4 linked regions of the Saccharomyces cerevisiae S288C genome follow. The gene in region 1 interacts genetically with each later gene. Each region holds a gene or a part of one and is shown on either strand. Other genes may lie near its edges.

Region 1 (5,964 bases):
ATAAGTATGTGTTGAAAGGACATGAAGACATTAGACAGGATAGCTTGGTCATGCAATTATTCGGACTAGTTAACACGCTTTTGCAAAATGACGCTGAGTGCTTTAGAAGGCATCTAGATATCCAGCAATATCCAGCAATCCCATTATCTCCGAAGTCTGGGTTACTGGGTTGGGTACCGAATAGTGACACGTTCCATGTATTAATTAGGGAGCATAGAGAAGCCAAAAAAATTCCTTTAAACATTGAGCATTGGGTCATGTTACAAATGGCACCTGATTATGACAATTTAACGTTGTTGCAGAAAGTAGAAGTCTTCACTTACGCCCTAAATAATACGGAGGGACAAGATCTTTATAAGGTGTTATGGCTGAAGAGTAGGTCATCGGAAACGTGGTTGGAGCGTAGAACTACTTACACTCGATCGCTAGCCGTGATGTCCATGACCGGTTATATATTGGGGTTAGGTGACCGCCACCCTAGTAATTTGATGTTGGATAGAATCACTGGGAAAGTCATTCATATTGATTTTGGTGATTGTTTCGAGGCTGCTATATTAAGAGAAAAATTCCCCGAAAAAGTACCTTTTAGATTAACTAGAATGTTAACATATGCAATGGAAGTGAGTGGAATTGAAGGTAGCTTCCGTATTACTTGTGAGAATGTTATGAAGGTACTTAGAGATAACAAGGGTTCATTAATGGCAATCCTTGAAGCTTTTGCTTTCGATCCTTTGATCAATTGGGGTTTTGACTTACCAACAAAGAAAATTGAGGAAGAAACGGGCATTCAACTTCCCGTGATGAATGCCAATGAGCTATTGAGTAATGGGGCTATTACCGAAGAAGAAGTTCAAAGGGTGGAAAACGAGCACAAGAATGCCATTCGAAATGCAAGGGCCATGTTGGTATTGAAGCGCATTACTGACAAATTAACGGGGAACGATATAAGAAGGTTTAATGACTTGGACGTTCCAGAACAAGTGGATAAACTAATCCAACAAGCCACATCAGTGGAAAACCTATGCCAACATTATATCGGTTGGTGTCCATTCTGGTAGTTTTAATGTATTGAAAATCACTTAGTTGTATATAGCCTGTAAAAGTGTTGTATAAAAATGCATCTCATTCATTAATGTTTAGTTCCGAGCGTGACGTTACTAACTGCGAAAAAAGTTCCTTCGACTAGTAAATATCAAAGGCGAAAACATAAGTATATGGGAGAATTATAACAAGTTAAGTGATGATGATAGGATAAGATAATATAGGATACATGTTATATACAAACTCTAGATAATAAAGATGAAAAATGAAAAGGAAAAGAACATGCTTTTAGATAGTATGTTCACTGTGTTTTTGTCGTTTCCTGTCAAGTACTCGCTCGTTACGCATCTCATTTTATATTCTTTTTAGAGTTTAATCCTGGTGGTAACTGGTTTGTAACATTTTTGCCATTGGCATTAATAATAGATGGAATTGGCATAGGGGAGTTACTACCAAAACCTTGCTGGAAATTAGGGGGGAAATTTCCTTGTAGCATCATATTTGGATAAGGTGGCTGTGGCTGTTGTCCTGTTACCGGTAACATACCATTTGGTGGGATTGGGAACCCCTGTGGTAATGGTGGCATTGGGCCGTTAGGAAAGTTAGGATGCATTGGAAAAAACCCTGGAGGTGGGGGTGGTGGCATGTATTGCTGTTGAGGCAGATCTGGCGTTGCTGTTTCCTCTTGTTTTCCCTTGCTATTTCTTGTTCCGTTTGGATTTTTATTTTGCCTTAATTGCCTGTCTTCCTTCTTATTTACATCTTTAGAATCTTTCTGGAATTGAACGAGACCTGGTGGCGGTGGCATCATGCGTTGTGGAAAATTTGGTGGTACACCCATCACAGGAAATTGTGGACCCTGATGAGCAATTAGTCCTGGGGGTGGAGGAGGAGGAGTACTAGTTTCACTTTTACCTTTATTCAATAGCCCATTGAAAAATGCGTTGTTATTAGGAGGATGCTGGGTAAATGCCATTGGTTGCATTTGTTGCGGTTGCTGCTGGAATTGCGGAAGAGTCTGCATCTTTCCATTATCTTTGTCTGAGGCTGATAACAACTGCGATTCTGCATTTGGAGTGCTCGATCTAGATTCTTTGAAAAACGACATCAGTCTTGAACCACTTTGATGAGGTGTACTGTTGCCATCGTTGTTTACTACAGACACGTTTGACGATGGCACTTGATTATTATTATCTAATGAAGGCAACGAAGTGGCAGATTTATTGAAAAATGATGAAAACCGAGATGATGAACTTTTACCCAAATCTGAATTAGTTTCTAATTCGTTAACTTGTTCTATACTGGTTTTGGATAGGCTTGGCTGTCCAACAGGAATACCAGGTGTTTGTTGTGAAGATTCTTCCTTCTTATCTTGCCTCTTTAAATTCAAAAAATCTGTTATTGAACTAGGGCCCCTTGGAATGACCGGTCTTAAATCGGTGGGTGTTTCATGAGAGGCGCTTTCCCTGGGAGCAATTGCGGTAGAGTTACTGATTCCTTTAGATTTTGAAAGTTTTTTCAATTCTAATTCTTTCATCTTTGCCTTCCAATCTTCAAAATCTGCAATTGAATGGCCGACGTCACCTCCTAATTGAAGATTCTTGTCCATCTCCAGCATTTCTTGGTCAATCTTTTTTTCTTCATCATCTTGTTGAGATCTTCGTTTGCCTCCCTGCATGTTTTTGGTTCTACTCATTCTTCTCTCATCGTTTTTCCCATTCTTGTAACCAGCCTTCCAACTGCCTCCACCATTGTTCCCATTAAAATGATGGTTATTAGCATGCTTTTGATCTGGAGGTCCCATGCGCAATCGCCAAAACTTTCTTTTGGGTAAACTCCTCACAAGTTCCGAAATAAGTGGGTCTTCTTCGTACGAAGCACTTGCCAAAGATGGTTTCAAATGATAAAGTTCATTCATGGAGTATGCATATGTCTTGTATTGCAGATCCATTGGTTTGTAGTTCGTTATAGGGTCCGTCAAACTGCTGAAATTTAGCATGGCCGTTTTCTTATTTTTTTTTTTATTGCTTTCTTTATTGTTACCGCTCGTAGCAACAGAAATGTTAGAGCTATCAGTTGAAGATTCTACGCTACCGATTGGCTTCTCTTCTCTGCCCTTTTTGGCTAATTTTTGGAATAAATTTGAGATGGCTTGTTGCGATTTGTGAGTAGCGGCTGCAGTATCGCTGTCAGACAATTCACCTGAAAACTGGCTGCTTGATATAATTGAAGGGTCGTTGAGTTCCATTGTATGGGTTAAAGTCCTACTATGCTAGTTCTTTGTGTAGCTTAGAGACTGAAACATTCATATACTCTAATATCTCACCTGATCCTTTTTGAACCTTCCAACGATTTCTTTGAAATTAAAAAAACTAAACGTTTGTCATTCTTTACGTAATACATAGAAGTAATGGTATGTCACGTATAAATAATAGATAAAGAAGCACTTTTAGTGCCATTACATGACTAGCTGCTAAACCAAAGTGAATGATAAGTCTAATTACATATTACCAATTTAAATATTAGTATAAATATAATTACAACTTTTACTCTCGTTTTGCATTTTTTTTTTATTTTCAGGTTTTCTGCGCCTGAAAGCTATTGACCTTGCTTTAAAACAGAAATGAAATTATCTACAAACCATTTTTCGAATTGCTTTTGACCCATTGTGGTTAACATATTAACCAACTGAATCGTCAATTCCTGTGGTAATTGGATTTGTGGAAGGTAGATCTGAGTTAAATATTTTACACATTCATTCTCATTTGTGGTGGGGTTGCTGCTGACGATAAATAGCTCCCTCAGTAATCTTGCCAAATCATATGCCATTGTTTTGAAATTCCCTTCTTTGATATTGAACTTGTATATTGGATTGAACGGAATTTCAAAGATTATTGGGACACATTTCATGATGAAGTATTCGTTGAGACCATCTATTTTAAGGTTGGGATCTTTATTGATGTCGTCATTATCCAAGCAGGTCCCATTCCCAAAACATTTGATAAAATTGCACAATACATTGAGTGACACTTTCATCATTGATGTTTCCTGGATCTCTTGCGGCGTATAGGTGACCAAATCGTTTAATATGACCGGCAGGATTGCTCTGTTTATATCTGACAATAGTATCGAAGTGACGGAATTATTAGTAAATGACTGTAAAAATGTGCAGTAAGCCTTTTTCAATAGTATTTTATCTCTATACGAATCGGTGACCACGATATTCTTATTTACGGAGGTGGCTGTGACTGCAGTGTCTATAGGTTTGTTACTGCTTGATTGTTGGTCGTGTTGTTCATCAATCTCTTCGATAATAGAATGGACTTTGTTGATAAGCGGAGTAAGTAACTGGTTAAACAGCTGATAACAGTCTGTGTCCGTGTGAAACATATGAATCAGTTGAGATAAGAACCCAAGAAAATCAATCATCTCCCATGATTTTAAATCTGTGGACGATAAGATCAATTCAATCAATTTATTGATAAATGGTAAAATTTTATTACTTAAAATTGGAATTAACCTGGCAAAGGTAAACCTAGATGCATCGCGGATATTTTCGAACTTATTGAAAAAAGAGAATGTTACTAATATAACCTCAGCTATATTAGAGAATTTATGGATTAAAGAGTCATTGATTAATTTTTTGTTGACAACCATATTGTTGACCTGATTCTCAGGGACGAGACCAATGTGCAAACCTCTCGCTAAAGTACCAATAGCCATAAGAATGTGATGACATTCCAGAATCACAACTGGCGAAGCTCCTTGGGTAATACAACCCTCTAATTGTGTAAATAGCGGAGTTAATATCTGGTCCAATATATCGTAATCGATGGGGGTGTTGGCAGTGGCAGCAGTGAGCTCCTGACTGCTATTATTCAATGTGATTATAAACCCAATACCCTCAAATATGTACAACTGATTATCAAAAATTGTATCATTGTCATCCGTCCCTTGGGCGTTGATAGATGTTACTTTTATGTGAAGTAGAGGACTTATCTTATTAGTTATTTCATTAACCAAATTTTTGTTGGCAAAGAGGATTTTTTTCAAATTGATTCTTGTCAACTTCAAGAATCTTGTAAATAAATACCATGACCTTAGTCTGACGTTTTCTCTTTTATTGAACATAGCAAATGAGCTCATGAAAATATTCAATATTAATAGATACTTTTCATCATCATCAGTAGCATTTGCTGTGTTAGCACTAGTTGAAAATATGAAATTGTAGTTTTTCACAATTAATTCCATGAATAGTATTTGGATTTGTTCGTTATCAATGGCTAATAAGAAATCCTTCATCATTAACAATTCATTTAAAAATCGTACTAAAGTTAGCGAAGGTTGTGAGGTCATAATTTCATTCTTGTTCAAACCGAAATAGTTGTTCTTGGTACATTCACTTAAATTGAAGATTTGATAAATAGTTAGCTCGAAAATTTGCCAGCTTTCGTTTTTACAATTCATTAGGTTTGCTGAAATTTCTTGAGAAATGTTATTTAAAAACAGACTTGGGTCAATTACCACGATGATCTCCTGGAAATTTTTTAATTTAAATCTTACGGTTTCGTTGAATTCCTCAAAATCATCCTGTGTGACCTCGTCGTCTGAAAACTTCATTCTTTTAAAGCAAATTTGTTGGAAATTATCTAGAAAATCCTTATGCAATGGTACAAAATTTGGTGAAGATGCTTTATATTTTTTCAAGAAAGCCAGATAATTTGACCAGAATGGGAAGGTTTTTGCTGTTATTGAATCAAACTCATTATTCATAAATTCCAAAAGTATTGGTATTATTTTCTCCAATAATATGGAATCAACATTTGAAATGACCGATTGTTTGTATAATGTATCCAATTTTTGATCATCGTTGACTTGTTCAATAATGATAGTAAATTCTATGCCAAAGGAAGTAATCAACTT
Region 2 (4,462 bases), on another chromosome or scaffold:
AAGCAACATCCATCCTTGCAACTTTGAAGATCTTGACCATAGGTTCGTAAATCATAGTGACAATTGCCTTTAGCATTTGGGTTAACTCAGGATCTTGCCATAGCTGCCTCATTAGCTGTTTATCATGTTCTTTAATATACAATTGCCATAAATCTTTGACGTGTGTGAAATAAATACCTGACTGATCTTCGCTGGTTACATTCAAGGCATCCGTGTCTTCTTTTTGCAGTTTCCATGATGAATAGGATTCAATAAGTCCCGCGACAACCTCGTCTGGAATTAGATTTGCAGCTGCACTTTTCATTAATACTATCAATGGTACAGGCATGTTCATGGATTCGGATTCTGCATTTACTGCGTCCATAGTAAAGAGTTTAGTATCATGCTCATCCTTAGTATCATTATTAAAGACAAAATCCTTCAAGCATTTAGTCACAACTGAAGCGCCCGGGTCCATCTCAGCAATTTTCCTTTCTAATTCCTTTATAGCTACCTTTTGAGTTTTCAAATCATCTGTTAATATCGTAGAAAACATTGTTTGAAGGAGCGAATGACCACCGAAGGGTTGTGCCATAAATAATTCAATCATACCCCTCATGATCGCTATTGGATTAGTAAATTTCATGATCTGTCCCATTACTGTGTACGGCATAAGCTTATGTAACCGTCTTATTTGTGTATAGAGTTCATAACTGTTATCGTTACCCAGAAACATTTGATAAATCATTGAGGAAATATAAATCTTACACCATTCCACAAAGTCTTGTAAAAGTGGTGACAGGTCTTCAACTTTCGTATTGTCCTTGATTTCTACTAGTAGACTCATCAAGTATTTTTCATCTTTTAACAGGGATGTTTTGAAATCTTTCATTGAGTCTTGCAGCTTTAAAGACTTTTCTAACGCCATCTGTTGGAAACGTATTTGGTTCTCCAAATTACTTACATCTATCAGAGCCCTGTTTCTAATGTCATCTGCTATTTTCGGATTTATGTCCTTAATATCTAAATTAGGCCCACTTAGGAAGAAGCGACGAATAGATGAGCTTTGAGAAACCTCTGCATCTTTACACAAAGTCCTTAAATATTGTCTTAATGAAGTTCTCATTTTTTCACCCACCAAAGTATTGATTTTTGAATCGGATGCATCTTTATATTCATCAAAATCACTTTCTTCACCTTCACCTTCTTCCTCATACTCGTCCTCATCAATATTATCTTCTTCCTTGATCTCATTTAGAATATTTTTTCTCAACGTTTCAGTTTCTTTTTCTGTGAGTACTGTTTCTGTAGCAGATAATTCATTCGTTGTCTGTAAAAATGAAGAATTATCAGACTCTGATGCAGATTGTAAATCAGTGTCAAAAGTGTTGACGATTTTTTCCCTGGCTGCTGATTTAGTTTGCCCATTGTGTAACACTTCGGTTTTAGTTATCATAGACGTCACTTTTTTATTTCTATGAGGTAAGCGCGGACATTTCTTCCCCGGAAATTCTGATTTTAAATCATGAGATAGTTTTTTGAAGTCGCTGTATGTTCTTGTCACATAGAAATAACCAGCATGGTGATCAAGATTACTATTCTCTTCATTGCTGTTATCTTGGTCGTCGTCATCTTGCTTCTTAATCTTAATCAAGAAATAATGATGTTTTCTAGATTGCTTGCTCTTAGTTGAAGGCACGCCAAGGGATAATTTCGAAAATAAAGATGCTGAGGATTCGGGCATACTATTTATGGTACTGTTAATAGTGTTGTTGAAGGCATTCTTCATCCATTTAGAAGTGGAAGCAAATGATTTTATAGCATGGCTTTTGGGACTCGAAGTTGGAGTAGATTTACTAGACTTGTCATTATCCACACTTTCAGTACATTTCCGTGAATTCTTATTGAACACGGATATAATATTGACGTCCCAACCGTTAATAAAAACGGATTCGTTAGTGAGCAAATTCTCTAAATTTTCTCTAGTTGGCATTGCAAATTTCTCAATATTAGAGCGTTTTCTCGCTTGGCCTGACTGTAAAACGAATTTATCCTCATTATAATACGCTTGCTCTTGAAAAGAGCCAACACCGGAGTTAAAGAGCAACAAGATAACCTTTGATAGCTTTTTGGAAACTTTCTTCCTTTTTGAAGCTTCCTCCCTGTCATAACTTTCACTAAACCCAAGACTCATGAAATGTTCAAAGAACACTTGAACCTTACTCTGCCAGAATTTTTCATCAACTAGCAAATTTGTTGAAAGTAAAGGAAATGTGGATATAAATTCTTGCAAAACATAACTCAGCATGGGATAATTAACGCTAAAATGGCCTTTGCCACCGAGCACTGGTGATGAATCGTTATTGGAGATAGGCTGTGGAGCTGTCGGATCGTTTGGTGAGAAAGGATAACCGAACTTTCTCAAAGCAAACTGATCGTTAAGCTTTCCAATTTCATAATCCAATTGACATCGAAGCAGTTCCCTCTTCAGGTAGTGTTCTTCCGTTGGATTTAAAGCAGGAGTGTCTTGAGTAATCATTTGAAGACTGTCTATTTTTGATTCTTTAGTACAATTATCTTCAACCACTGATTTCAGTACACAATTCCGACCACAAGGTAAGGTTCGTTTTTCTTTTTTTATAGAGCCCAATGCACAGTAATTGGATGTAGCTCTTAAAAAAGAATGAAAGCTAGAAAGTGATCAATTATTCGAAAAACACTTTAATACGTTCCTTGTTCACGCCTAAAAAGTTAACTGTCAAATGGTTAACGTACATTTATCTGTCTTATGAGAGGCGAAACAGGCGTAAGCATTAAAAACCCAAGGCCATCTCGTCCTTTTTCTTGTTTTTGGCGTAAAGGAGATGTTGAAAATATTAGGAAAAGTGATATAGGGAACGAAAAGAAAATAGACGCTAAGTTCAACAGGCTTCAGTATAATCTATATTACAAGCCTCTCTCGCACCACAAGGCCGGTTTATTGTACAAAGAACTCTTCTTCAGAAGCTGCTTCTCTTATACTACCTGCTCATTAGACTTTCAGGGTAAAAGGCACCAAGTGGAAAGAAAGGCAGTAGATATAGTACTTTGAATTCTTTTGACATCGCAAGGTTACTCGCATCCACTCCCTATTATTTACTCTGTTTCAACTCATTGTAACTTCATTTTCGCTAACTTCCCGCCAGACCAGCTCTTCAATCCACACTTGCCAGATAATGAATCAGTCTATTTCTTCGTTGATTAAGCTTAAATTCCTTCAATCACACAGTAACGATAAAAATGGCAACAAAAAGGGCGGAAGCAATGTTTCAACAGGCATAGATAAATTAAGAGAGTCGGAAAGTTATAGAAGTCCTTTTCTTCAACTCGCAGAAATACAGGAACACACTAATAATGACGACGATAAACTTGATGTAAAAGAATGCGAGCCCACAAAAAAACACAGCAAACTAAGCAGGATACGGCGTAAGATGGGTAGGTTAGACTTGAATTTCAGGTCAGCCAATGAAAAGGGTTCTGAAGATGATGAAATCTTGGTTGCACAACACCTCCGTAATGGACAAGATCCTGAAGAAATGCCTTTCAAATCAGAAAACAACATAGATTCGATAGAGAAAGTTCCCAAGCCCGATGGTGAGAGAGTCACGCTTACTAGCTCCGGGTCTGATAACGTAAAGAGAAATTCAAAACACGCCCCATTCATTCCTGTGAAACCTGCTCTAGAAAAATTTCCTTCTTCTAATAGATTGTCAAGAGATTACAGAAAATCACAAGAGCCTACCCTGTTTAACGGTGATAGATTAGTTCCTACTCTTCCTACTGTGAGTAGGATATCGACATCTTCTTCCGTCGGTTCCTCTACAGCGGCTTCAAGATATTTCAATCCGTCCAAAAGAGCTGTTGTTGCATCATCATCATCATCGTCGTCGTCAATAAAATTCAATTCGCTGCACGCAATACCACTTGATGCAACTCCTCAAATTGAATTGGCAAAACAACAAGATGAGATCTCCAAAAGGAGGTTCGGAAGAAGGCGCAGTAGAACTGTTGACGTATTTGACTATATTAACAAAAACAATACAGCAAAGAACAAACCGCCACTCTCTCCATCTTCTTTTATTAGGACTATTGACGAGAAAAATACAAATTCTCTTATGCAAGACCCCATGGGATCCCGCGGACCTCTTTTGCCCGATGATGCCAATATTATAAGCAATGATACAGATGGAGCGGAAGCAAGTCACCCAGACCATCAGGTTTTATCAAGGTCTCGATCTCAAAGTACGTCTTTTGTTCAAGGCAAGGGCGGCAAGAGAAAATCAATTGAAGATGAAGGCTACCATAACAAATTGGGCCTACCTCATGGATCAGGCCCTACTTCAGTTTACAACAATAAAAGCAATGCCAATTCAACTATTACTGGAATGTCAAGAAGAAGTAGCTCAATTGTGAATGCTTTAAGTAGTTTTGTTAACCTTCGCTC
Region 3 (6,926 bases), on another chromosome or scaffold:
GTCCCTATCCTTCTTGCCCTCAACAGAAGACATTGAAGATGACCTATTCTGTGGAGAACCCTCTTCAGAAGAAGGTGTAGAAAGTAGATTCATGTTAAACATTCTATTTTATGTTGTGTAATAAGATATGTCCAGAAATATACTATGGTTATTTATGTACTCTTTCCTGTGTACGCGTTTCGATTATTTTGCAGGTTATATTATATACTGCTATCACATGCTAAAACAAGAGTATCTAACAATGGGAACACAAAGCAAGTATTGATTTACTCATTCCAGTTGTGTAATTTTCTTCTAAAGATGTACTTAAATAAGAAGAAAACAATGATTGTCTTCGACCTCAACGCCTCGAACCAACGCTTTCCCCAATAGCGAGAGAAAGTAAGTAACCGGAAAATTAATTACCTCTTTCTTTCACCTGCAGGGGCTGAGGTGCTTCTGTTAGTGCGCCTCTAGAAGTATCGGCCATAATGAGATATATACTTTGGTTGCCCCTCCGGTTTTGAGGGAGTTTTAGCCCGATGAGGCTGGTCCTCCCCTCCAAGGATTTTTTGTATTTCCTATTTCGCTCTAATTATAGAAGCACCAACATACGGCGGGGTATAAACCAAACAATAGCCGCGGAAGCCCAATCTTCTTCTCCTTTTTTCGTAAACGGATAAAAAGCTATGACCAAGAGCCAGGTAAGTTATACGTAATACTACCTCAGGACCGATGTCATTAATGAATTATAATGGTTTTTAATAGTTTTTTCCATAGTATATCTAACGGGGTGGTGATACGTCGTAATAGTCAAGAAGTTGCCGTTCCTCCCCCTCTACAAAGGGGGCGGTAATACGAAAAGGTCCATTTTTATGATGGGTTCGATTGTAAACATTCGGAATATAACTATATGACAAAAATGTGTAAGAAAATAATATATAAGTCTATTACCATACTATTTTTATTACGACAAAATTTTAAAGCAGAGAATAAATGAAAAAGATCATAAGGCGGTAAGGTTTGCTCTTACAGAACCACCTTTTCTCATTTAGACTTCTTACAATTTGTCGTAATATTCTTGCCAGCCTGGAACTTCTTCCTTCATACCGTGTCTCTTACGAGCAGCAAGAACAATTTCACCAGCCTTAGAGGTTGGGTCCAATGGGTCAGAACCTAAAGTGGACCAATGGTCGAAAACCATTTGTGGGAAAGCTTGACCACCGGTAGCTTGTCTCAATTCACCAGTGAAACCGAAAGATTCGTTAACTGGCAAGTAGGCCTTGACGGTAAACAATGGAGTACCTGGTCTTTGTTCTTCAGAAACGACTTGACCTCTCTTCTTGTTTAAGACGGAGTAGATACCACCGACGGCTTGTTCTGGACATTGAATTTCGACCAAGAAAACTGGTTCTTGGATCTTTGGATCAGCCAACAAGAAACCGGCGTAAGTAGCTCTTCTCATGGTTGGGATGATTTGACCACCACCTCTGTGGATAGCATCGGCATGTAAAGTAACATCCAAAATGTTAACTCTGACAGATCTCATTTCTTCACCGAAAATTGGACCTTCCTTGGTAGCCCATTGGAAAGCAGCAACAACGGAATCCTTGATTTCGTGCAAGTATTGGACAGCCTTAGTTTGGTCAATAACCAAGTTTGGACCGTTACCGTCTGGACCGAAACACCAGATCTTTCTGGCATCGGTGACATCCCAACCGTAGTCGTCAGCCATGATTCTAGCTCTGGCCTTGAAATCATCTCTTGGGTTGATGATACCGTTTTCAATAGCCAAAGAGACTTCTTCGTCAATTGGTTCAGCCTTCAAGTAGATTCTGTTATGCTTGTTTGGAGACTTGGACAAAGCAGTTTGAGAAGATTCACTTTCAACAGTTTCTCTGTAAGCGACAACTGGTGGGGAGATCTTCAATGGAACACCAGCGTGGTCGTGTTCCAAATCTTGCAAACAAATTTCCAAATGCAATTCACCGGTACCAGCAACGATATGTTCACCGGATTCAGACATATAGGTCAAGACACATGGATCAGACTTGGACAATCTCTTCAAACCTTCGACCAATTTTGGTAAGTCGTTAGCGTTCTTGACTTCGACAGCGACTTGCACAACTGGAGAGACAGAGAATTTCATGACCTTCATGTTGTGAGCAGTTTCACTGGTGGTCAAAGTACCAGTCTTCAACAAGAATTGATCGATACCGACTAAACCGATAATGTTACCGGCTGGACAGTCATCGATTGGTTCGACAAATCTACCCATCATCAAAACAACTCTTTGAATGGCCTTGATGAACAAATCGTCCTTCTTACCTGGAACGTAGTTTGGACCTTGGATTCTGACCTTTTGACCGGACTTAACAGTACCGGCAAAAACTCTACCGAAGGCGTAGAATCTACCCTTATCAGAGGTTGGCACCATCTTGGAGACGTACAACATCAAATCAGCCTTTGGATCACAGTTCTTGATAGCAATACAGTTGGCATCGTCAGCTGGACCTTCGTATAATTGTTCAGCTCTGTAGGCTTGAGCAGTGACTGGAGATGGCAAGTGCAAGACAATCATTTCCAATAAGGCATCGGCAGCTGGCAAGAACTTTCTCATAACAACCTTCAACAAGGCCTTACCTTCCAAGTCCTTTTCGTCACCCTTCAAGACAATTTCCAACTTTTCTAGCAAAACTGGAATTTCGTCTTTCTTGAAGTTCATGATAGCAGTGAATAATCTGAAGATTGGGTCCAAGATGAACATGTTGAAAGCTCTTTCCAATGGCTTACCTTCAGCATCAGTGTCCTTGTTGGTCCACTTCTTGGTCTTTGGGTTGAAGAAAGAGTCACCCCATAATCTGTCCATCATCTTGGCCTTGTCGACACCGAATTTCTTAGCATATCTGGTGGCGAATTGACGGATAGTGAAAGCCCAACCGTGCAAACCGGAACCGAAGGCAACGGTACCTCTGGCTGGGTAAACTTGGACATCACCCAAAACTTCATCGGCGTAGGTGGAAACGATGACGTTAACGGATTCAACAGTTCTGGCAAAGGTTTGGTATAAATCTTCCTTAGAAACTTGCAATTCCAACAAAGCTCTGTCGACCTTGTTGATAACAACAACAGGCTTGATTCTTTCACCCAAAGCTTGTCTCAAAACAGTTTCGGTTTGGACACAGACACCTTCAATGGTGTCGACGACAACCAAAGCACCGTCAGTGACACGTAAAGCGGCAGTAACTTCAGAGGAGAAGTCAACGTGACCTGGAGAGTCGATCAAGTTGATCAAGAAGGAGTTACCGTCGGTCTTTTGCTTGATTTCCTTGACATCTTCGTCAGACATTTCAGAGTATAGAGAAATAGCGGTAGACTTGATAGTGATACCTCTTTCTTGTTCATCCTTTCTGGTATCGGTGAAACGAGCTTCACCAGCCTTAGCAGCGGAAATAATACCGGCTCTTTGGACCAAGGAATCGGTCAAAGTGGACTTACCATGATCGACGTGAGCAATAACGGACATGTTACGCACATTGGTAACTTTGTCCATTAAAGAACGCATTTGGTCAACAGTGAAAGCAACCATTTTTATCTGTTATTAAAAATTCTTGGGTGCGTAGGTCTGGCTTTCTGGCAAATGGGGTTAAGTAAAAAAACCAGTGAAGCGTTTAATACAACAGTAGTATGCAATTGAGATTAATTAAAGGAAGGCTCATGGCAAAAAAAAATTTTCTAGGTGAGATTTGAAAAAAAATTTTAAAAGTGCAACACGGAAGTTTACCCGGGATTAATATCAACTAAAGGAAAAAGATCACCTTGTTCAAAGGTATGAATTTTCTACTTTATATACGTATTATTTAGTGGACATGCCCAAAAGTGAAGCAGCATGGCGCGCATTCAGTGATGTAGTGTCTGAGTCCTGAGAGTTGTACCCATCGTCTTCAGTGAATAGTTCATCATCAAATTCGGTATGAGCGATCTTGTTGATGGGGATTTGACTTTTGCGGTTGCTCTCTCCCGTCCAACTGTCCCCTTTAAGGGTTTGAGAAGTATCGGAGTTGTTGTTTGAGACAGCATGGCGTCCTAGACGTGACAAACCTCCGTTTTCATCAGCTTTTCTGATATCAGAACGTACTCGTTCTAGTAACGTCAGCTTCTTTCTTTCATACTCTATCTTTCTTAGTGTAAATTCTTTGATCGAGCTTCTTATCCATTCTTCATACCAGCTAATCCACTGTTTTCTCTCGATAATCATGTTGGACGTGATTCGTTGAAGCTTAAGGGTCAAAACTTGTTCGTTTTTAGCTGCAGCTTTCAACTGACGTAGTGCTTCATCGATTTTCATAGGGTTAATATCTCTTCTTGACCGGAACCTGCGTGCTTGTTCCTGTTTCGCCTTTGAATTCTGCTGTGCCTGTACTAGATTTCGCATGATAAAATGCCTGTTGGTCAATGCTTCCTTCACGGCATAAGCATCTCTGACAATCCACTCTAAACCATCGTACAATGTCGCCATGTCCATGGTTGCTATAATGCTATCAATATCACCCACAGCAGTCAATATTTTACCGTATCTTCTGTAAAGTTTATTGTGCTCATCTAGATTAACGAAATCCTGGCCGAAGGCATTTTCTTCTTGAACCATCATCTTGCGATTTCTGGAAACTCTTAGCAGTTTTTCTTGCAAGCTCTGAGAAACAACATATATAGACTTGACTAATGGCCGGAATTCTGCTAATTCTGTGATTTCATCATATGGAGGTGCTAATTGTTTCAATGTTTTTCTTTTCAACCCAGATGCGAGTGATTTGGACTTGTTGATGGGTGTGTACGTATTAAAGTCACTTTCAATGAAAAAGGCCACTTCTTCATTCCGAATAATTAAGGGGTCTTGCGATAGCCTGTTAAACCAAAGTTGGAAATTTCGCGTTACTTTCATCCTATCTTCTTCGCTATTAATTCCGAATGTAGTATACGCAGAGGGAAGAGTAGGAACAAAAGATTCCTGAATGGCAACATTCAGATATTTGAACAATTGGTGGAATTCTTCGTATGATTTTTTGACATTCTTGTATTGTTGTTTGCGAAATGTTGGCAAATTTGTGGAGCAATCAAATATAATAGTCGGATTCTCTTTCTTACCGGTTGCAGATCCAAATCGTTCCAATCCTGTTACTTTTGCAAGTAGAGTGTATTTTTTTTTCTCATCACTTCTTTCAGGAAGTATAACACGTTCTGATGGTTGAGATGGTTGTTGGTTTTCATTGTGTTCGTTTGAAGTTTTTGATCGTGTTGCGTTTCCTTCTTCACCAAGACCATTTTGAATGTTATTTGCAGTTCCGTTGTCCTGAACGGAAGCTGCAGTTTGCTCAGTACCTACACGCTCCTCTGACATAGAAGATGATCCATCTGTGGTTGTTGCAGCAGGTTCAGAATCTTCCTCCTGGGGCTCAGCAAATGGATTGTTATCCAGATCATCATATGGATCATAAGGTACAGCCGAAGTCATTGTTCAGAGGATAGATGGATTGACTAAGGGTACAGTACGGCAAAAAAAAATTAGATCAGCTTTTCAAAACAAACTATTTTGGCGTTTACCAAAACCAAAACAGTATATTCAACTAGTTCAATCACTCTTGAAAACGTCCCCTTTCTACAAAATTAGGCTTTGAACGCGTGCTATGGAAAAAAGTGTAAAGAAAACGAAAAAACCAGAAAAGTCATATATATCTTATAACGAAATATCAGGGTGTTCGACTCAATCGCCAGGTGCCGCTAACACAATCATTAGGATAGTCGGGCAATATATACGGTTCAATAGTCACTGAAAGTGTATCACAGAATAATGACAAAGCTACAAGGACTACAGGGATTAAAACACATCAAAGCGGTTGTATTTGATATGGATGGCACATTATGCCTACCCCAGCCTTGGATGTTTCCAGCAATGAGAAACGCCATAGGATTGGAGGACAAATCGATTGATATCCTTCATTTCATTGATACATTGCCCACAGAAAAAGAAAAAAAAGAAGCGCATGATAGAATAGAATTAGTTGAGGCAAAAGCCATGAAGGAGATGCAACCGCAGCCTGGTCTGGTTGACATAATGAGGTATTTGACGAAAAATGGTATTAGCAAGAACATATGTACTAGAAATGTCGGAGCCCCGGTAGAGACTTTTGTTAAAAGATTTATTCCATCCGAGCTTTCGAGGTTTGACTATATTGTGACAAGGGAGTTTAGGCCTACAAAACCGCAACCAGACCCATTATTACACATCGCCTCGAAGCTAAATATAAGGCCCTTGGAAATGATCATGGTAGGAGATTCATTTGACGACATGAAATCCGGTAGATCTGCTGGATGTTTCACGGTATTACTCAAGAATCATGTGAATGGACATTTACTGCTCGAACATAAAGAACTAGTAGACGTTTCAGTAGAGGATCTTTCCGAAATAATTGAATTGATTCAAAATATGAATAAAGAAAGTTTCTAAAAAAAAAAAAACTTTACTTAGATATGTACATATGATTGAAATACCATTTTATTCTTAGATGTTTTTTAGAGCTAATATAGTAGCTATGGCGGAATTACCTTGATTTTTTCGGCATCACAAAGTTCGAGAACACATCAAATCAGCAAAAAAATCTCCGCGACGGGGAATTGAACCCCGATCTGGCACGCGACAAGCGCCCATTCTGACCATTAAACTATCACGGATTTTAATTGTTGGGTTAACGGTGTTTTTATTAATACTTGTTTCATATGATTTGAAAAAATAAAAAAATGTTGCAGCAAGTGATCATTAATGTCAATATAAATAATGATGGTAGCAAGATGAGTGTTTACGTTAATGTACATTTCATATACTGAGAAATAGGTGAATTTTCGGGATAATCGTTAGGATTTCATTATTGTTAAGGGCTATAATTTAGGTA
Region 4 (6,328 bases), on another chromosome or scaffold:
ACTAATAGCCCTGCGCTAGCGCCAATTAACATGTTCCCGAGCTTAAGTAATTCTATACAGCCGATGCTTGGCACCTTGGCTCCGCAACCGCAAGATATAGTACAGAAGAGGAAGCTACCGTTACCAGGTTCAATAGCCTCTGCAGCAACAGGCAGTCCTTTTTCTCCATCACCCGTTGGTGAGTCTCCCTATAGCAAACGCTTTAAACTAGACGATAAACCAACTCCGTCTCAGACGGCTCTTGATTCCTTACTTACAAAATCCATTTCAAGCCCTAGATTACCCCTTTCGACGTTGGCTAACACAGCTGTCACGGAATCTTTTCGCTCACCTCAGCAGTTTCAGCATTCTCCAGATTTTGTAGTTGGTGGTAGCTCAAGTTCAACAACGGAAAATAACTCTAAGAAGGTAAATGAAGATTCTCCATCATCTTCTTCAAAACTAGCTGAACGACCTCGTCTTCCAAACAACGACTCCACTACTAGCATGCCTGAAAGTCCCACCGAGGTAGCTGGTGATGATGTTGATAGGGAGAAACCGCCAGAGTCAAGTAAGTCGGAGCCCAATGATAACAGCCCAGAATCGAAAGATCCTGAGAAAAATGGTAAAAACAGTAATCCGCTTGGTACGGATGCTGACAAACCAGTACCAATTTCTAATATTCATAATTCTACTGAGGCTGCAAATTCAAGTGGTACAGTGACAAAGACAGCTCCATCATTTCCGCAGAGTTCTTCTAAGTTTGAAATTATAAATAAAAAGGATACGAAGGCGGGGCCAAACGAGGCAATCAAATACAAGCTGTCCAGAGAAAATAAAACAATATGGGACCTATATGCGGAGTGGTATATTGGTCTGAACGGTAAATCTTCAATAAAAAAATTGATTGAAAATTATGGCTGGCGAAGGTGGAAGGTTAGCGAAGATTCACATTTTTTTCCTACTAGAAGAATTATTATGGATTATATTGAAACGGAATGTGATCGTGGCATAAAACTCGGCAGGTTTACTAATCCTCAACAACCGAGGGAGGATATACGGAAGATTTTAGTAGGGGACCTAGAAAAGTTCAGGATAAATAACGGTCTGACTCTGAATTCTCTATCATTGTACTTTAGAAATTTAACGAAAAATAACAAGGAAATTTGTATTTTTGAAAACTTTAAAAATTGGAACGTTAGATCAATGACAGAAGAAGAGAAATTAAAGTATTGCAAAAGGCGACATAATACACCATCTTAAGTTTATTGAGGTTGTCCGCGACAATAGTTCCTTCAACAAAATAACGAAGCGACGATAACGAGAAATGTCATTAGGTTATTACTACCTTTATAGAAAATATATATACTTATTTAATATTTATATAGATTTATGTGTGTACATACCTATGCGGATGTATGCCTATGTGGGAATTCCTAAATGTCTTTCCATCAACGACTAAATATATATTCTCATGACTGACTATATGGGTTACGAAAACTTAATTTTTTTGTCAAAGACCCTGGCGAATTGAGAAAACCCGCTGGATAGATGGGCTATCCGAAATTTTGAAAGATGGAAAAAACATTAATCTCATTAGCAAAAGAGGTAAGACCCTGGGTGAAGAAAAGTCCGAGGAGGGAACACAAAAAAGTCTAGGATAATGGCACATGAAAAGTTTAGTATACCTGAGAACTTCACATTAGCGCAGTCTTTGCAATTGCTTTACTCTGTTGTCAAAAATCAATATAAAAACCTAGCAGACCTAATAATCAATAGCAAAGGTAATAAGGACACAGTAACGTATGGGAAAATCCACAAAAACTTAGACACTTTACTGGTATACGTCAATGAAGGTCTACGAAAAATTGAAAAGACTTATACCTTAAAGAAAGGGTTAGGAAATCTTGTAGTTGATCATCCTGAATTGAGGAGCATCATTGAGGATTTCCAAATTCTTGGCCAGGATATAAGGATCGCACGTCGTAAAGCAGAAACGCTTATGGCCGAAGGAAACGGTAGTCCCTCTTTGTCATCCTCCTCTTCCGTTTTGGGCCTTGGGACAGGAAATGGTTTGCGTTTTCCAAAACTTTGGAGAATGGGTTCCAAAAGAGATAAATTGAAAGAAGCTGACGAAAAGGAGGCTAAAATCAACAAACAGGCTGATAATATCAGACGTGCTAGGAAATTAGAAGAAGAGAAAAAGTTAGGAGCAAAACTTCAGTATGAGAGGGACTTAGAACTTCAAAGGGAAAAATTGATCGAGTTAAAGGTTAAAGAAAAGGTCGAATTTGAAGTGGCCCAAAAGTTGGAGGAGGAGAGAGTTAAGAGAGAGGAAGAAGAACGCAAACATAGAGAACAAGCGGAGAAAAAACGTATATCAACCCTGAAACATGAGAGGAAAACAAATTACAAATCAAGGGCTAGCCTCGACAACTTCTCTTCCAGTAGCAAATCTTCTGGAAAGATTGACAACTCCCTAATTAAAAGAAGATCACTTGACGTTGTACGGACTTCAGGCGAAAGAGTACGAACGCCAGTAAGAAAATCAATGGAGGCAGCAGAAATAGGTATGGCTGCGCAGTTAGCCTGGTCTCAGTATCAAAACGGGGCAAATCATTCAAAAGTGAGTAACAACGGATCGCATTCAAATGAACTTCAGATACGTTATAAGCCAACACCACCTTTGAAAAAAAGGTATGACTACAAAAAGCCAACAGTTAATCGACCGATTATAAAATCACCTACTCTTAACAGGCAAAACAGCAAGTCTTCACGGAATATACCCACAAATAGCAAGCTGAAGGCTAGTAAATCCAATACTAACAAAGTTTCTCGTAGGAATGAGCAAAATTTGGAGCCTAGTTCACCAGTACTCGTTTCAGCGACAGCGGTACCTGCTGAATCCAAACCCATGCGTTCTAAAAGTGGTACACCCGATAAGGAAAGCTCTGCTAGTTCATCCCTCGATTCCAGAAAGGAGGATATATTAAAATCAGTGCAGGGAGTAGATCGAAACGCTTGTGAACAGATACTTAATGAAATTCTTGTTACGGATGAAAAAGTTTATTGGGAGGATATCGCAGGCTTACGGAATGCGAAGAATTCTTTGAAAGAAGCAGTGGTTTACCCATTTCTGCGGCCTGACTTATTCAAAGGGCTAAGAGAACCTGTTAGAGGTATGCTTTTGTTCGGCCCACCAGGTACAGGTAAGACAATGATTGCTAAGGCGGTTGCGACAGAGTCCAATTCCACATTTTTTAGTGTAAGTGCATCTTCTTTGCTATCGAAATACCTCGGTGAATCTGAGAAGCTGGTTAGAGCATTGTTTTACATGGCCAAAAAATTGTCACCCTCAATTATTTTCATAGATGAGATTGACTCTATGTTAACAGCTCGCTCTGATAATGAAAATGAGTCCTCGAGGAGAATTAAAACAGAACTTCTTATTCAGTGGTCCTCCCTATCTAGTGCTACTGCACAATCGGAAGACCGAAATAATACGCTTGACAGCAGAGTACTTGTCTTAGGAGCAACGAATTTGCCATGGGCGATTGATGATGCAGCAAGAAGACGATTTTCACGGAAACTATACATTCCTTTACCAGATTATGAAACTAGACTATATCATTTGAAGAGATTAATGGCCAAGCAGAAAAATAGCCTGCAAGATTTAGACTATGAATTAATAACAGAAATGACCGAGGGGTTTTCTGGTTCTGATCTTACGTCATTAGCCAAAGAAGCGGCAATGGAACCTATTAGAGATTTAGGAGATAAGTTGATGTTTGCGGATTTTGATAAAATCAGAGGAATTGAAATAAAAGATTTTCAGAATGCTCTGTTGACAATAAAAAAGAGCGTGTCGTCAGAATCTCTACAAAAATATGAGGAGTGGTCTAGTAAATTCGGTAGTAATGGTTCCTGAACGAGAGGGAGCGTCTTAATGGCAAAGAAAGGTATGAGAAGGAATTTTCCCCTTTCAACTTCTTGCTTCTGATCTAATTTTATTACCTATGTACTTTCTATGTATTATCAAAGAAAAACTAACTTCGGTTCCCTTATGATTTGATATTTTTCTTTCTTATTTACAATTAGTTTTCTCAGAACGATATTCAATACAGTTCTCCGGATTTTTGCTTACTATATTGGCCCCAAAAAAATGAAATAAAAAAAGAAAACAAAATAATATACTTGGGTGAAATAAAAAAAATAAATCAATAGCACCCAGTTAACCTAGATTCAAAGTTTCTTCTTCAATCTCAATTTATATACACGTTTGAGTTAATGGGAAAGCAAAGTCCAGCTATAAAACACTTGACCGTTAGCGCCATACCCTCCAACAACTAATTGGACCTTCTCCTTCTGCCCAAACAGTATATGCAAGGTACAGCAGTTACTACAAGCACAATATGTCTTGGATAAAAAATGTAACAGAATCTCCGACTTCACTGATTAAAAAAGTTTCATGTGGTTTGATAATTGCTGCTTCTCTATATGCCATTGCACCCAGCCTAAGTGCGCTAGTCTTTGGGGATTCTAAGCAGAGTATTGGGAAGTACACGACAGTGGGCTTAATTAATCGTGGGAATGATTGCTTCATAACATCATCTTTGCAAGGCCTGGCTGGAATACCTCGATTTGTAGAATATTTGAAACGGATAAGAACGGTCCTTCTAGAATTAGAAACTAAGCTGTCAAATAATGCAAAAGGCGACAATCCTACAGTTGATAACACTACAAGGCATAGTCGACTTGAAAACTCGTCTAATTCACTTGCCCCCTTACACGAAAGTCTTACCAGTTTAATTTTGGATTTGATATCTGTAAAAGATCGTAAGACGTCAATTTCTCCGAAAATAGTGATAAACACATTAGAGTCCATCTTTAAATCAAAGATCTCATCCAAACAAAATGATGCACATGAATTTACATTAATATTACTACAAACATTACAGGAAGAACGATCAAAATTGATCGATTACAGTAAACAGATATGTAATTTGAATATACCAAAGTTTCCATTTGAGGGCGAGACTTCCAAGTTTCTAGTATGCCTTAAATGCAAGGGTCTATCAGAACCATCATACAAACAGACTTTCATCCGCGAACTGTCCGTACCACAACAAACATCAGAGAATCTATCCAATATTCTAGCACACGATGAAACAGAAATCATAGACGACTATTCATGCCTGATCTGCCAAATAAGAGCAATCTTAAACCATGAAGAATATAGAAATTTCAAGGACTGTACCCCGGATGAAATTTTAATGTTGGACAGATTGAAAAATTATGCCACTAAAGCCCCAATTAACGAAAATTTACCATTCGAAGTAGAACAGTACGTCAAGCGTTACTCAAAGGGCAATTTGCAGGTATCTAATATAAAGGGAAAGGTCATCAAAAAAGATGTAGTAGTACAACTGCCAGACATATTAATTGTTCACTTATCGAGATCCACATTCAATGGTATTACATATTCTAGAAATCCCTGCAATGTCAAATTTGGAGAAAGAATAACACTTTCTGAATATACATTGGCTGAGAGTGGGACAATAACAGAAAACAGGCAAGTCAAATATAATTTGAAAAGTGTTGTGAAACACACCGGTTCTCATTCGAGTGGACACTATATGTGTTACAGACGCAAGACTGAAATTCGTTTCGGGAAGGAGGATGAATCTTCCTTCAGAAGAGCACCAGTTGTCAACAATGAAGTTAACAAGAATCGCGAGCAAAACGTTGCACATAATGATTACAAAAAAAGCAGATATAAAAAAGTCAAAAACGCCCTGCGGTATCCTTATTGGCAAATATCTGATACCGCCATAAAGGAATCTACCGCTTCAACTGTCTTGAATGAACAGAAATATGCTTATATGCTATACTACGAACGTGTAAATAAATAACCGCCCTGTACATAGGTATATTATAATAATAGTAAGTTACGCATCCATATCCACATCAGTATCCACTGCCATCATTTCAACATCGGTATCAGCCTCTCCATCATAAGTGTATTTCGAAGTCATTTGATTATGGAACCACTTCCACCAGCTTAGATAAGCAATTTCCTTATAATCTACCCATTTTATTATTTGTAGCCTTTTTTCTCTCAAACGTTCCCATATTTTGTCATAAAACAAGTCATTGTCGCCGCGTTTACTTGTGGAACACTTGATGATCTCTTTCAGGACCTTATCATCAATAGCGTCTGTGAATACTATATTGTTATGAATAAGATTGTTATCATCTGCATGTCCGTTCTTGGGCCCTTTATCATTTAAGGATAAATTCTCTAAATCTATAATTAGTCTTTTTCTTTTATAATTATCAATTCCTATTG

What was found.
Region 2: of EAP1 (region 1) and YPR096C, extra expression of one rescues a mutant of the other (dosage rescue), as found in Saccharomyces cerevisiae (one study listed by BioGRID).
Region 3: mutations in EAP1 (region 1) and EFT1 together harm fitness more than expected from each alone (negative genetic interaction), as found in Saccharomyces cerevisiae (2 studies listed by BioGRID).
Region 4: of EAP1 (region 1) and YTA6, extra expression of one rescues a mutant of the other (dosage rescue), as found in Saccharomyces cerevisiae (one study listed by BioGRID).

Annotation. Positions count from the first base shown.
Region 1 is NC_001143.9:51,029-56,992, reverse strand, and holds EAP1 (Eap1p), read right to left. Parts: upstream 3,290-5,964; coding exon 1,391-3,289; downstream 1-1,390. Other genes in the region: phosphatidylinositol kinase-related protein kinase TOR2, read left to right, coding at 1-1,058; Ran GTPase-binding protein LOS1, read right to left, coding at 3,640-5,964. UniProt on the Saccharomyces cerevisiae protein: Can regulate translation through binding to eIF4E. Competes with eIF4G and p20 for binding to eIF4E in vivo and inhibits cap-dependent translation in vitro. Plays a role in cell growth and is implicated in the TOR signaling cascade.
Region 2 is NC_001148.4:723,450-727,911, reverse strand, and holds YPR096C (uncharacterized protein), read left to right. Parts: upstream 1-2,767; coding exon 2,768-3,070; downstream 3,071-4,462. Other genes in the region: LEC1 (Lec1p), read right to left, coding at 1-2,518; Arf family guanine nucleotide exchange factor SYT1, read left to right, coding at 3,195-4,462.
Region 3 is NC_001147.6:571,740-578,665, reverse strand, and holds EFT1 (elongation factor 2), read right to left. Parts: upstream 3,569-6,926; coding exon 1,040-3,568; downstream 1-1,039. Other genes in the region: GTPase-activating protein BAG7, read right to left, coding at 1-102; retromer subunit VPS17, read right to left, coding at 3,836-5,491; YOR131C (putative haloacid dehalogenase-like hydrolase), read left to right, coding at 5,828-6,484. UniProt on the Saccharomyces cerevisiae protein: Catalyzes the GTP-dependent ribosomal translocation step during translation elongation.
Region 4 is NC_001148.4:414,121-420,448, forward strand, and holds YTA6 (putative AAA family ATPase YTA6), read left to right. Parts: upstream 1-1,642; coding exon 1,643-3,907; downstream 3,908-6,328. Other genes in the region: transcription regulator GCR1, read left to right, coding at 1-1,242; putative ubiquitin-specific protease UBP16, read left to right, coding at 4,392-5,891; YPL071C (uncharacterized protein), read right to left, coding at 5,928-6,328.